Styela clava: one gene and its partner. The protein of the gene in region 2 purifies or fractionates together with the protein of the main gene of each other region. This does not show direct contact. Links are inferred from orthologs where the notes say so. Each region holds a gene or a part of one and is shown on either strand. Other genes may lie near its edges.

Region 1 (6,430 bases), on a different chromosome or scaffold from region 2:
ATTTACAATTCAGTAAATTTAGGTGGTACAAAAGAGAGTGAGTGGCACAAGCCCTAGTGGTTGTAGCCTTAGGCTTGAGAGTGCTGGCATCGCAGTTTACACAACTCTGTTTCGAATCTCACAACCTTACCTATAGTGTAATAAATTGAGTAGGTAATGCCAATCCAGATAGATTACGGTCTTCCCAAAAACATTAGCCCCTATAAATGTTAAGTTAAATATCACTGGCTGCTTTAACAGGGCCGTGTTCAGAGCAAAACGCACAAATAAGTGTTGTAAAAAGTTATGAGGGTTACAGAATGATAGATGTCATTCAAGAAATGAGATGGCACAATTATCTATTTATCTGGTATTGTGATTTAAAATTTGTTTTAAAAAAGTTTTTCAGCAATGTGGAAGAATTAGAATAGACTTGTACTCTCACCCGTGACACTTGCTTTCATAACTCTTTGAATAATGGCCTTCATAATATCAGCATTTGGCTATGAAACTTAAACAAAGCTAGAGAACAACAGATAAAATATTGCCTATAAAATTGTATTGAGTATAAAATATAACAGACACAATTTCTGCCACCCAGGCCTTGTATTTAAAACACACTTCTTTGGTATAGAGAAAATCAACAAATAAAGTAAACAATATGAGGCCTGCAGTAACAGCATAGCACAATAATGCAAATAGTCTCATCAGCTTGGTGAGATAGCGAGATATGAGGATTTCGTAATAAAACATGTTCTGCAGGCAACGTCGCTTAAGGCTGCTCTAACTGTCATGAGGATGATGCAATACAAATTTAAAAACCAAGGACACCTTTTAATATCAATCTTAATATCTTTATTTGCATTGGAAGGATATGGAATAAATGATTCTATCTCCACTCTATGAATAGAGAGCTCTATAATTTCAAATTAGAAGCCATCATCATAAACATTCAAATGCTTCATTTTATGAGAAACTATATTTTTGTGCATCACATTTTGAAATATTTAGATTTGGTATGTTAACCAAATTGTCAATGTCTACAATCAACATCGGTATTTAAACAAGTTTCTAATACTCCAAAATCACAGCGCTTTCACAAGCTGGCTGACAAAGATATTACAGTATACAGTGAAAATTTGTTTTGTCAAGATATATGCATTGAAGGTTGCAGCAATCGTCCATGCTTATGTGATAAGCACATAATAACTGATAGAGATAGTCTCATATATTTTTATATCCATATACGATATTAACATACTAAAGCATTTTTTGCATAAAACAGCCCCCTCTCACTAAATTCCAGTATTTTAACATATAAATATTTATGATTTTTCCATATATCAACTCCCAAACAATTTTCCATTTCCGAGAATGTTCAAAAATTTTCCTCTTGTCATTTCACGAGATTCATCTAGTCCTAGTTGATAAGCAAGGTTTTGTAATCCACGAACTTTTTCCAATAAATTTGCAGTTGTTAAACTACCAAATTCCTGTAGCATATCAATATCGTCCTTTTCTAACTCTGCCATCCATTTTGGCGGTGATTTAGGTGACATCGGACTTCGTAACGCAGACATAAAATCTGACACACTCGACAATTGTTCTGGCCATAGATCTGGAGAAGCTCTATCAAGCTTTTCAAAGCTCATCAACTGTTCGTCGATATCATTTGGTTCAGATGAACTGGCCATGCTTTTAATATATAACTAAAACTATGTCCAAAAACTGAGAAAACAATTTAATTCAAATCACATGTTGTAATAGGCAGATAATGCATAGTACAAAGCTTACAAGTACTACCTAGTACTCTAAAATGATTTTGTTCAAATTTTGTTAAAAAAGCAAAAATGAATCCGATTTAAATACAAAATATTCAACGAATAGCGAGATATCTTGTTGCTACATTGGCTATCGATTGTTGAAGTACTTGGTGTTCAATTTCAATATTTGTCAATTTCATTCCTCTCGATTTCAAAGCAACTAGTATTTGTACAAGAAGCATTACTGGCAAAATTAGTCTTATTGTTCAATAAAAATAGCACTTTTTTTGCAGTTTTGTTGAATAACAGCATTCTAATTTACTCATCAGGTACGAGATTCAATACCAAATGGAAAAAAACAATCTTGTCAGACTTCTATTGAAAAGGGCACACAAATAAAATTTTACATAGCACTCTTGTCTAAAATTATTGAAAACATGCATGAATACTTGCTAAAATACTTGAAGGAAAACATTCTAATTTACTGCTTTGCTTGATGCAGGAGATGGAATATGACTTGTGCAATAACAAATACAAATATTGCTTCATAAAAGAAATTGGTTCAGTTAAAAATACAACTTTGATGAATAATTTTGATCAGATGCCAAAAAATTCTAAAACCCATTTGGTTATCATCGCAAACAAGTTTGTTTTTATTTATTATAGAATTATGTGATGAACCACATTGCATGCAAAAACAATATGCAGGATAAGATTTTGACCGAATGGAAAAAATGAATAAATAAAAACATTATGCCTTTAAATACTTCGAAAACATTGCGCAATAAAATATTATCTCTTCTAAAATAACTACAACAGTCCATGTATAAGAGAGTGTATTTCATCTGCACCCGATTGGTCTACTAATAAAAATTGGAAGTTTTTTCAGCCATCCTTCGACTTTATTGCTGCTTTTTCATAGAATTTTTAACATATTCTTCAGTGGCTTTCCAGTAATAAATGATTTGAAAAGATATTACTGCATTTGCGATTGTAGAAACTATATATGTAAGAATAACAATGTTGTCTCCAGTCTCTTGTATTGAAGTGAAAATTCTGGCAGTTGAACCAATGAAAGTCAGGAAAACAGTTATAGCCGACAGCTGTCCAGTGTGTCCATTTTTAATGCTTTCAGCTGCCTGAATCATCTTTGCTATAACTATGGCAGGCATGTTGCTTGCTTGAAGCGCTGCAAGAACATTTGTGGGAGTGATACCAGATACCAATACGAACAGTATGACGGAGTAAATTACAAGGAAGACGATGGCCAATTGAGGTTTACCTCGGTAGTATTGTACCAAGCAGGCTATAATTGTGACTTGGATGAGCAAAAAGAATGAATCACCCCATGCACTGAATGGAAAACTTCTAGCAATGCTGTAAGCACACATGGAAGTGATTGCATACAATTCCAACAGTACAGAAGAAAAACTCATTCCCACCGCACTTGATGACTTCAACAACTTTTGAATTTGAGGTACTTTTACAAGAACTGCTCCCATGATAATACCATATCCTAAGCATTTGCTGATCACTGCTTTCAGACATGGTACGTCGAGAAAATTGAAGTCAGTAAAAAAGATCTCATAACACACAGGAGTCATTAAAAAAGACATGAGACTCCGAAAAGCTTCCATAATGTAAGGTTTTGTCAGTCTAAGTACAGTACTTGATATTAAATTTTTAACAATAAGCTATTAGTTAACTGTATATTGTACAAAAATATTGATCTTTACTACCATTGAACAACTGAACATACAGCAAAGCAGCGCCTATTGTTTACTAAATCAACCATAAAGAGCAGAAGATCATAAAACAGAACTGACTAACGGACAATCAACCCAATCATACCAAAAATCTGTTATAGCTTATAGGCTATGATGCCTAATAAATCAGTACCGGTAAATGCAGAAATGAGTGACAAGTGACATACTGATGTATTGAAACATTCAATATGCAGATTCTTTTGACATCTTTTACTAATTTTATTAGGGCAATATCTAAGATACCTGGATACGTTATCTAAAGTCATCAGAGTCCTCAGCAAATTATCTGTAATTGAAGATAGACGTGCTTGCATCAGAATTTCATTTCATTTATCTTATATTTCAATTGACTATCCGTCCTTTGGAACCCGATATTGTACCGAAAAGTTTATTGTTTCATTTTAATTGATAAAAACACTTTTCATCCCGCCAAACATGACCGCCCTCGTCGCGTTTGTCAGCCGTGTTGCTCAGCAAAATCTGTGACTGCTGCCTTTCAAGTTAACGTTGCATACGTGCCCGCCATGAGTCATGACATGTTATAGTCCGGCAGATAAGGGGACCTTTTTGGCCAAGTTTGATTTCAGATATAAAGTTTTTAGGATAGGAGGATAGGATTTACATATTTATCCCGGGGGGGGGGGGGGGGAAAGCCGATAAGACGGCTTATCCATATGGCGAACCACGGCCTCTCGTCCGGTTACCATTCCAAGTCGGGTATGGGATTAGATTTTACTGTATTGTTTGTTTTCGGAAGCATGGACTTAGGGGTGGAGGAAGCCGTAACCGACCAGCGGTTACGTGAACCACCCACCCAAGGAGTCCAGCAATCCTCTCGCACATAACCATCCCTGCATGGGATTCGAACCTGCGAACCCACGCAGAGTAGTTAGAGGTGCGGTGGCGAGCGTATTCCTAACGCTTAGCCCTTTGAGCCACATCTTTTTTTTATTTGTGATTATTCATCTTGGGGTCATTGCCCATCATTTCTACATGGGTGTGGAGTTTGCAGCCTTGAGCAGCGGCTCGATATTTGTATTATTAGTGTTTTTCGTCAAACCTGTGCATCATAATGACGCACAACCTGTTACAATACTATGTTCAGGTTGTGCGCAATCTTGGTGCACAAACTACGCAAGCACCAAATTTACTAGGAAATAAAATCAATAACTTTTAGGTATTTGTTGAGCCCAGCTTTGGGTCGCGACCCATATACTGTACATATGTAAATACTGTCGAAAGAGAAACATACGCGTAAAATAAAGAGTACTATTTCAAAATACCGGTTTTTGTTGCAATTAACAATACAAGCCTGCTAATGCAGTCGCCAGTGGTTCAAGTTGATATACACCCTGTGGAGAACAGTCAATTATTTGTTAGCGAGAATTATTATGCAGCGGGATGATCACGACGACGCAGTGAAAGATAATGATATCACGAGAACAAGAATGAGTAAATTGCTACATTTTATAGTATATCCCTGGGAAAGAATGTAGTTCATTCTTATGTTCCATGCCAATGCTTTTCAAACTACCAAAGACTCTCAACACTTTTGCTTCTTATCTTCTATAAAAATACATTGTTATATATTATATATTCGCATTTCCATCTGTTTGTTCGTGCTCCCAGATAACCGATCAGCGGCCTCCAAGGAGGACGGGGTCCCCTTTTAAGAAACCCTGTCATAAACTAAAAGAGGCGACCGTGCTTCTCTTGCCTGTTGTCATGCTGTCCCTGGAATTCAGCTACAACAAAAATTTCACGAAAACGGATTTTTAAATTTTATGATTTTATTAATATTCTCAACAATGAATGATATACGGGTGGTAAAATGCCAAGTTATTCCAACAACTTGAACATGTTTTGCAATTTACAATCAATATTTTGTATGTAACTTTGTTTGACAGAGCCCCAAAAGCTCTAACTACAAATATCAAAAATGTGAGGCCAAAATAGTCACACTACAACATTGTCAAATGTGCTGTATTTACGATAGATAACAGGTTTACCAAAAAGAATTACATGAAAAATGGTAAAATAAAGATCAATTCAGCTATATCTACTTGGTGATATGCATCTGTTGATGATTTTATGCGTTTGTTTCGGAAGTTTAATAACAGAATTAATTGTGGTTGTTGGGGATGTTTTGAAAAAAAGTTGCATGGAAAAAAGTTTTCACAAAATGTCAAGGTTTGATAGTAGTAGAGAAGTAGAAAAAATACTCCCATGTTTTTTTTTCATTTGATAACCACGCCACAGAACTTCCCCGATAAGTATACGCAGCAATTGCGAGAGGCAGAAATGCCAAGATGGGATTTCATCGCATTGCAAACCAATATTAGCAATTCTTATATATATTCGCGCATTCCCATTTGAACAGCGTGGAAAAGATTATACCCATCTACACACTTTAAGAACTATGTCAGATGAGCGTCATATTATCGAATATCAGTAAAGGAATAGTACAATGGGAAAAGACATATAAGGCGGAACTTTCAGTAGTATGCAATCAAATAATCTTATTGGACACGTAGTGGACATAACGATCGTTTCAATATTATGTTGTTGTTCTTGTTCTTTGACACGTTTTTAAAAAGTCGCTTTTCTCTTCGAATACTGGACCAATTGCTTTGAAATTTTCAGTGGTTAAAGATTAATTTTTTCGCTAGAAGGCTATTACTTTTGTTTATTCTTAAATTTTATATGAATCCTATGAGATATGATATTTCATACAAAATACTGGCATCACCGATTTAAGGATGTTGGAAACCAACATGCAATATTACAAAACTTACTTTCAACACGCGGTTTGAATGAATGAAAAAGCTGAAACTAGTATTCTTTAGAACAGCATACAAATTCTATAGATTGAAATCATACACAAAAGCTCGTCAAAAACCTATAGCTCAATAATCAAGTGGA
Region 2 (6,530 bases):
CATAAGTGTATCCTCAGATACCAATGAGCTTGCAATTAATGGAAATGGTCGAAAGCCTCAGTATGGTATGAAATGGTAAAATGCCTAAACAGTATACGGAATAGGAGTTGGAAAAAAAGTATGAATTAATCGTCTCATCATGTATAAATTAAAAACTCTTCTCGGGAATGTGCTAAATTCTAAAATATGGAACAAATAAAATATTCTAACTAGCTTACATAATGCAACCAAAAAAAATCAATACAAAAATGCAAAATAAGGTGACTATTGCATATCTTGATTCATAAGTACTAACCCATGAATCTTGAGTTGTTAAGTGCTTCAATGGCATCTCTCGCATCATCTTCATTGTCCATATGAACAAATGCAAAGTTCCTGATGATATCACAACTTCTCACTTTCCCATATTTTTCAAATATATCAAGAACATCAGCTCTTGCACAATCTGATGGTATGTTACCAACAAATATTTTAACCATATTGAAAGGCTACTATACTAAACTTCAAATTCTGAAATAGAAAATCACATTTTATGTAAAGTAAGGTAGAAATAGAAAGGGCAAATTTTTTTGAGGCGACAAACTTTTCCTCCCAACAGAAAGATAATACACAAACATACGGAAAACATACATAAAATTTAGAATATTTCGTGGCTGCCATAGTCCCCCCACTTCATTAGAGAGGATTAATTAGACAAATATTGTAACAAATGGGAAATCCAATATTCGTATAAATGTCAATCACAATTAGTCGGTCTTAAACAAATGTCACTAAATTTGATGATTATCGTACTATTGTCTCTCTCATTGATAGCAAAATTATATTGTTTCCTGCTCAGTTTAAATTAATAACTCAGAAAGGGAGGTAAAAACAGGTTTCTTCCAAAATAAATTAGTTTATTGTTAAAAACAATATTTCAATTTGGTTACTCATATAATATAAAAATGTGAAAATGAAATGAAAATCTGAATGTGAGAGAATTGATGATTTTGGAAAAATTGAAACCATTTGCTACTTATGCAACAAACACAAAAAATCACTAAAAACAGTTTGCCATTGTATTTCAATGACAAAAAAAAATCTGGTAATATGGGGTTACAGATATATTATTTGAATTCTTGTGTCCCAGGTTAGGGTTGAATCCTACTTCTTTACTAAATAACATTTATATCTCCTCCAATTCATGCAGAGGCACTGTTACTGAAAGGTTTACAGTAAGTCAGTAACGGTGCTCCCGAAGTATGCGAACCAAGATGGCGGACATCGGAACGTAACATGGGTAACAGGTTAGGGTTAGGCGATAATTTTTTTCCAATTTTCCTTATTTTAGTCCTATTAACAGTTCGAAGACTAGCCAAGAGCCTCCCGTAGTATTTATAGCTAAAATTATGGCCTAACCCTAACCTAGTACGCATATACATTCCGATGTCCGCCATCTTGGTTCGCATACTTCAGGAGCCCCTCAGTAACAGTATTATCACAGTGACATTTTATGATATAGTGACTCCTTTATGTAAGATTACTAGCACAAAGTTGCCTGTTTGCCATATCTTTTAATAGTGCCATTCCAGACGAATAACGCTCTTCATTTTCTGCAGATTTTGCAATCCATTTCTCCCGAACATTTTTCCAATGTTGTAAATGATTTAATAGCAATGTTTCTGCTCTAGGTATAACCTTGTTTTGCTGCAAATAATCTTCCAGTCGATCGCTTGGTTGAGGAATGGGTGATGGGATACGTGCACTCACATATTTTCCATTAGGACTAAAATTCTTAAATGGTGTATTAGGGGGTGGAATTGTAACCGGCTCATCAGAGTTTCCATCATTGACGGAAGCCTCATCAAGATCATCAGATGGAATACCATGTACCTTTCTTGTGTATGGATCATTACTCATCCAAGCTCTACAGATTGGATATAACGGAGTATCTTCTGAAAATTGGGCCAGATCAACGCTTCGATCAAATAATTTCATAACACAAGAGTTTGCTTTCTGTTTTTCTTCTTTATTGTCATCTTTTCTTCGACGTTTGCGTGTGGACCTGGAACTAGATTTTTGAGGACTTTCGCTATCAGATATTGTTTTATTTTTATCTGATTGTAGCAACATGTTTTCAATGTCATTTATTTTATCACTGGCAGGAGACGAATCTCCAGCATTAGCCTTTGCTACAATGTTTTGAAGTACACTATCCAAATCCGCTCTTGCTTCATTAAAATCAAGTTCTTGTTCATAAGAATATTGAGACATCTTCATTTGTGAATCTTCTTATCAGTACCGTAATACCTGTAAATGGTAATATCAAGAACCTGAAACCAGTACAGCAGTAGTGATAATTTTTTAAATAATTACCATGTTCGAAAATTGGGGCCATGTTCATAACACGACGTAAGTACCTCTAGTTAACATCACACAGCCATTTTTGCATGGTATTCCTAACCCCCAGTCATTAAAAAATTACATCACTACGACATCACAGTAACGTGATGAGGCCCCCCAAACTATACTAACTACCATCCAAGACGCGCAAATGATTACCCGAAATCGAGCAAGCTATTTCTCGTCGTAACGATTATGATATGAGAGAGATCGCTAGCATTAGTGAGTTCATTATCGTTGGCGAAGATGCTATTTCGGGCAATCCTAGCTAGACTATACTTTGGCAAGCTCCTTGGCATCAGTACGGCACACTATACAGATCGAGAGACATTGTCTCGTTTCAGAGAAACCCATTTTACCGATGATCAAACACCCCTCCTTTGGGAGACGTCTGGACATTGTTGTCCTTCAATATCGATAATAATACAGTATAATGAAGTTGCGCAAAATACTACAAAAAAGCCCAATCTAATAACGTCATCGTTGAATTCCCCAGGAAAAAATAAACCGATTTACAGAAGGAAAATTTTTTTTACTGTGGCATTCGAGAAATTTTACCAAAAAACATCACGAAACATAAAGATAAGTATTGAGACAGGCATGGCGTGATATGAAGATCTGACGTGGTGCCAGACGCCCCTCATTTGTGAGACACATGGAGTGTTTGCTCTATTGAGCCAAATTCTTGGAATCTGGATAGTGTGCAGTATTGGGCGTGATTGTGAGGTCGTGGTGACGTAACCAATGGCGAAACCAGGAATTACATGTGCAAAAATGGTTGTTCCATACCAAATAGAAGGACTCACGGCATTTAGTGAACATGCGTCAAATTTTCGGGTCTAGTATAGTTTAGTACCATATGTACTTCCAGTGGGCGTAGCATAACGAATTTTGCATATGTTATTCCCAAACCTGTAACCCCCACCTGACTATGTCATCCAAAAATTGCGTCACTACGATATCACAATCACGTCATAGAGCGTGCCGAAGTATAGCTACGATCGCCCGTAATGGCATTATCGGCGCCGATAACGAACTCACTAGAGCCAGCAACCTTTCTCATATCGGGATCGTTGCGGCGAGAAAAATAGCTTGCTCGATTTCGGGTGATGATCATCCGTACACCTTGAGGGCTTTATTACGCTACTGGGACATGGTAGTGCAGTAGTGGCGTAATTTTTATGTGACGAAGCCAGGTGGGGGTTAGGAATGACATATACAAAAATTGTTGAGCCAGGCTAACTAAAAGCCTGGAAGTGCACGTGGTACTAAACTATACCAAACCCGAAAATATTCGGGTCTAGTGAAGTAAACGCCGTAACTGCTCAAGTAACGAGTGGAAGTGGTGACTCCTCTTCGGCCCATGGGCCACGGCCCATCAAATTGGGCCTCGGCCCATCAGGCTATGGGCCGCGGCCCATCAAGTTGTGTAAAAAAACTATTCACTTGGCTAACACAAACAGTCCCCAAACTCATAATAGAACTATAATGTAAAAAATCTGAACAAAATTTTGCCCAAACCCTAACCTGGTACACATACTACAGGAGTTTATTTTTTGGTTCGAATATTGACAATTTTGGTAAGATAATTAAATTTTTCCTGGCCTTCCTTTTTTTTTAAATTTTTCCATGTGGCCCAATTAGATGGGCCGTGGCCCCGACCCATGGGTCGTAGAGGAGTCACCACCCCTGTAGCAAGTAACGCCTAACAAAATTGTGATGTGAAATGAACGTCGTACCGCACGGGTACTGCTCCCGTATCGAGTTGTCTTCCTCCCGTTTGTCACATGCGTTTAGCGTATTGTGTTCAGCGTGTGCGCAAGACGGACTTTCATTTTTAGAAAAAATAAATAAATTTGGGTTGTATTTTCACATCATAATTTTGTTATTTGAGCACTTACAGGTACGGTACAACATTCATTTTCACACCACATTCGGACATTTGTGTTGGGGGTATTTAAGCAGGGGCTCTCATGTAGTTTCGTACCTAACGTACTTCTAGTAGGCGTAGCATAACAATTTTTTCACGCGTCAACCCTAACCCCCACCACCACACCATCCAAAAAATACGTCACAGTGACGTAATAGAGCCCTTCAAACTATGCGAACTGTCATCCAAGACGCGCAGACGAGAACGCGAAATCGAACAGCCATTTCTCTCGTCGCAACGATCCCGATAGGAGAGAGACCGCTGGCGTTAGTCAGTTCTTTATCGTCGGCGCCGATGCCATTTCGGGTGATCGTACGAGTATTTGGCAAGCTCTATGACGTGTTGTGACGTAATTTTTGGATGGCGTAGTCAGGTGAGGGTTAGGATTGGCATGTCAAAATATTGTTATGCTACGCCTACTAGAAGTACGTTAGGTACGAAACTACACGAGACCCTTTAAGCTAGGGGTCTCAAACTCAATATACCTGGGGGCCGCCGAAACGGAGCCTTGGTGAGTCCTGGCCGCATCGGGTTTTCCACAATAAAATCATTAAACTTAAAAAGTTAAATCTTTTTCTTTGTTTTTTCTATACGCGAAACATGTCAAAAATATAAATGGAAGTAATATCGCGATGGACCTTTCCCCGAGCATCTACTTCCTTGTTTATTCCGTAACGTGGGCTAATCAGCAGGACGCAAAAAGTGACGTAACAATAGACTTTTCCGCAAACGCTCAGACACTTGTGACTCAGAAAGATTTTCAGGCATGTTTGTAAACATTACCTCGTTTTTGCATGCTATTTGTTAGTTTTGGGTTGTGTTTCAGAAATTCAAGTATGAATCAAAGAACTCAATGATCATTCTGATTGCTTGGGCGTCGTAGCTTAATTGCCGTAATCATAAATTAGTCTAGAAATAGCTGTGATAGACTAGGTTAAATTTCTCTACCGGTACTGTTGAAAAACAGGTTGTTGAATGTTTTGAATCAAATTGATGACGTGAAACATCGCGAAGCCACCTCTAAAATAAGCACCAAGAATTTGTAATGGTGAAGTATAAGAAAATTTTCTTCGGGGTCAAAGGTCCATCGAATATCATGCCTACATGTACGGTACTAGTAGGTTACCGTACCGCATATTCCTTTCGGTGGATAGATTATAAAATATTTTGTTTTGCTCTACTTGTCCTGATCATATATCAAATGCATCAATCATTCTAACTGAGCTGAGTGACTTACGGGCCGCACTAACATTAAACTTTCATACCAAGGCGGGGGCCGCAAACTATCGTCCTGCGGGCCGCAATTGGCCCGCGGGTTTGAGACCCCTGCTTTAAGCAGTTACGGCGTTCGCTTCACGAGACCCAAATATTCTATAAGCATTTATCACTGTATCACATTGATTCACATACCACACCGTTATTCGTCCTTGTTCATATACTGATACTCGCCCGACCTAAACCCACTTTGCATTCGCTTGTCGTTTACCGTACCAATCCCTGCACACAATCACAAAATGTGTTACAGCACTCGCGGCATTTCCCCGGGTGCTAAATAGGCCCCACGCCATTTTTTCCTTTAGAGAGAGAGAGAAAGAGAGATTTATTATTTCGCCAACCAAAATAAAATAACAGTCATCGTAATAATAAATAATAACAATAAATTAGTTTGGTATAGACAAGAGGGAGTGATACGACTAGACGGTCATCAAAGTCAACTCCCCCTATTCACGCAATAATGTTTAAGATTCACAATTTCAAATGACTAAATATAAAGGTGGAACGAACATTCTAGAATTTGATAAATATGATGATCAATTTTTTTATGTTTGCAGAGGAATGTCAAAGTAAGATATGAGACGATTAAATAGCAAACAAAAAATGTAAACAATTAAAACAGTATGAGTTGTTATAACATCAAAATACAATAAGTCTAACATTTTCATTACCGGTATCATAAACCATATTATATTTTTTTCATACCGGTATCGGTACGTACGGGTTCTAACCATTGAGGTGTATATAACTATAGAGGGTTAACATAACCTCAATGGTTCTAACGCGAAAAAATTTTTCAACCACGGCAGCAAACACTGCACCAAAAAACATAAAAAAAAACCACTGGAATAAAGCTGGGAAAAACAAAATGGAGAAAACTATAGATTTTTAAAAGTGTGGATGAAATTAGGAGACTGGATCCTTCAAAAACGTTGCTGCTGTA

The links. The genes of interacting proteins can lie anywhere in the genome.
Region 1: the proteins of protein lin-37 homolog (region 2) and protein lin-52 homolog purify together in Homo sapiens (affinity purification with mass spectrometry; 6 studies listed by BioGRID and IntAct, counting the BioPlex papers as one, with this or other methods). This does not show direct contact. The link is inferred for Styela clava from reciprocal best matches to the Homo sapiens genes LIN37 and LIN52.

The regions. Positions count from the first base shown.
Region 1 is NC_135251.1:22,035,178-22,041,607, reverse strand, and holds protein lin-52 homolog, read right to left. Parts: upstream 1,674-6,430; coding exon 1,323-1,673; 3' UTR 502-1,322; downstream 1-501. Other genes in the region: D-aminoacyl-tRNA deacylase 1-like, read right to left, coding at 425-467; mannose-P-dolichol utilization defect 1 protein-like, read right to left, coding at 2,645-3,379.
Region 2 is NC_135253.1:13,439,525-13,446,054, reverse strand, and holds protein lin-37 homolog, read right to left. Parts: upstream 2,423-6,530; 5' UTR 2,260-2,422; coding exon 1,510-2,259; 3' UTR 509-1,509; downstream 1-508. Other genes in the region: uncharacterized protein LOC120326047, read right to left, coding at 296-479.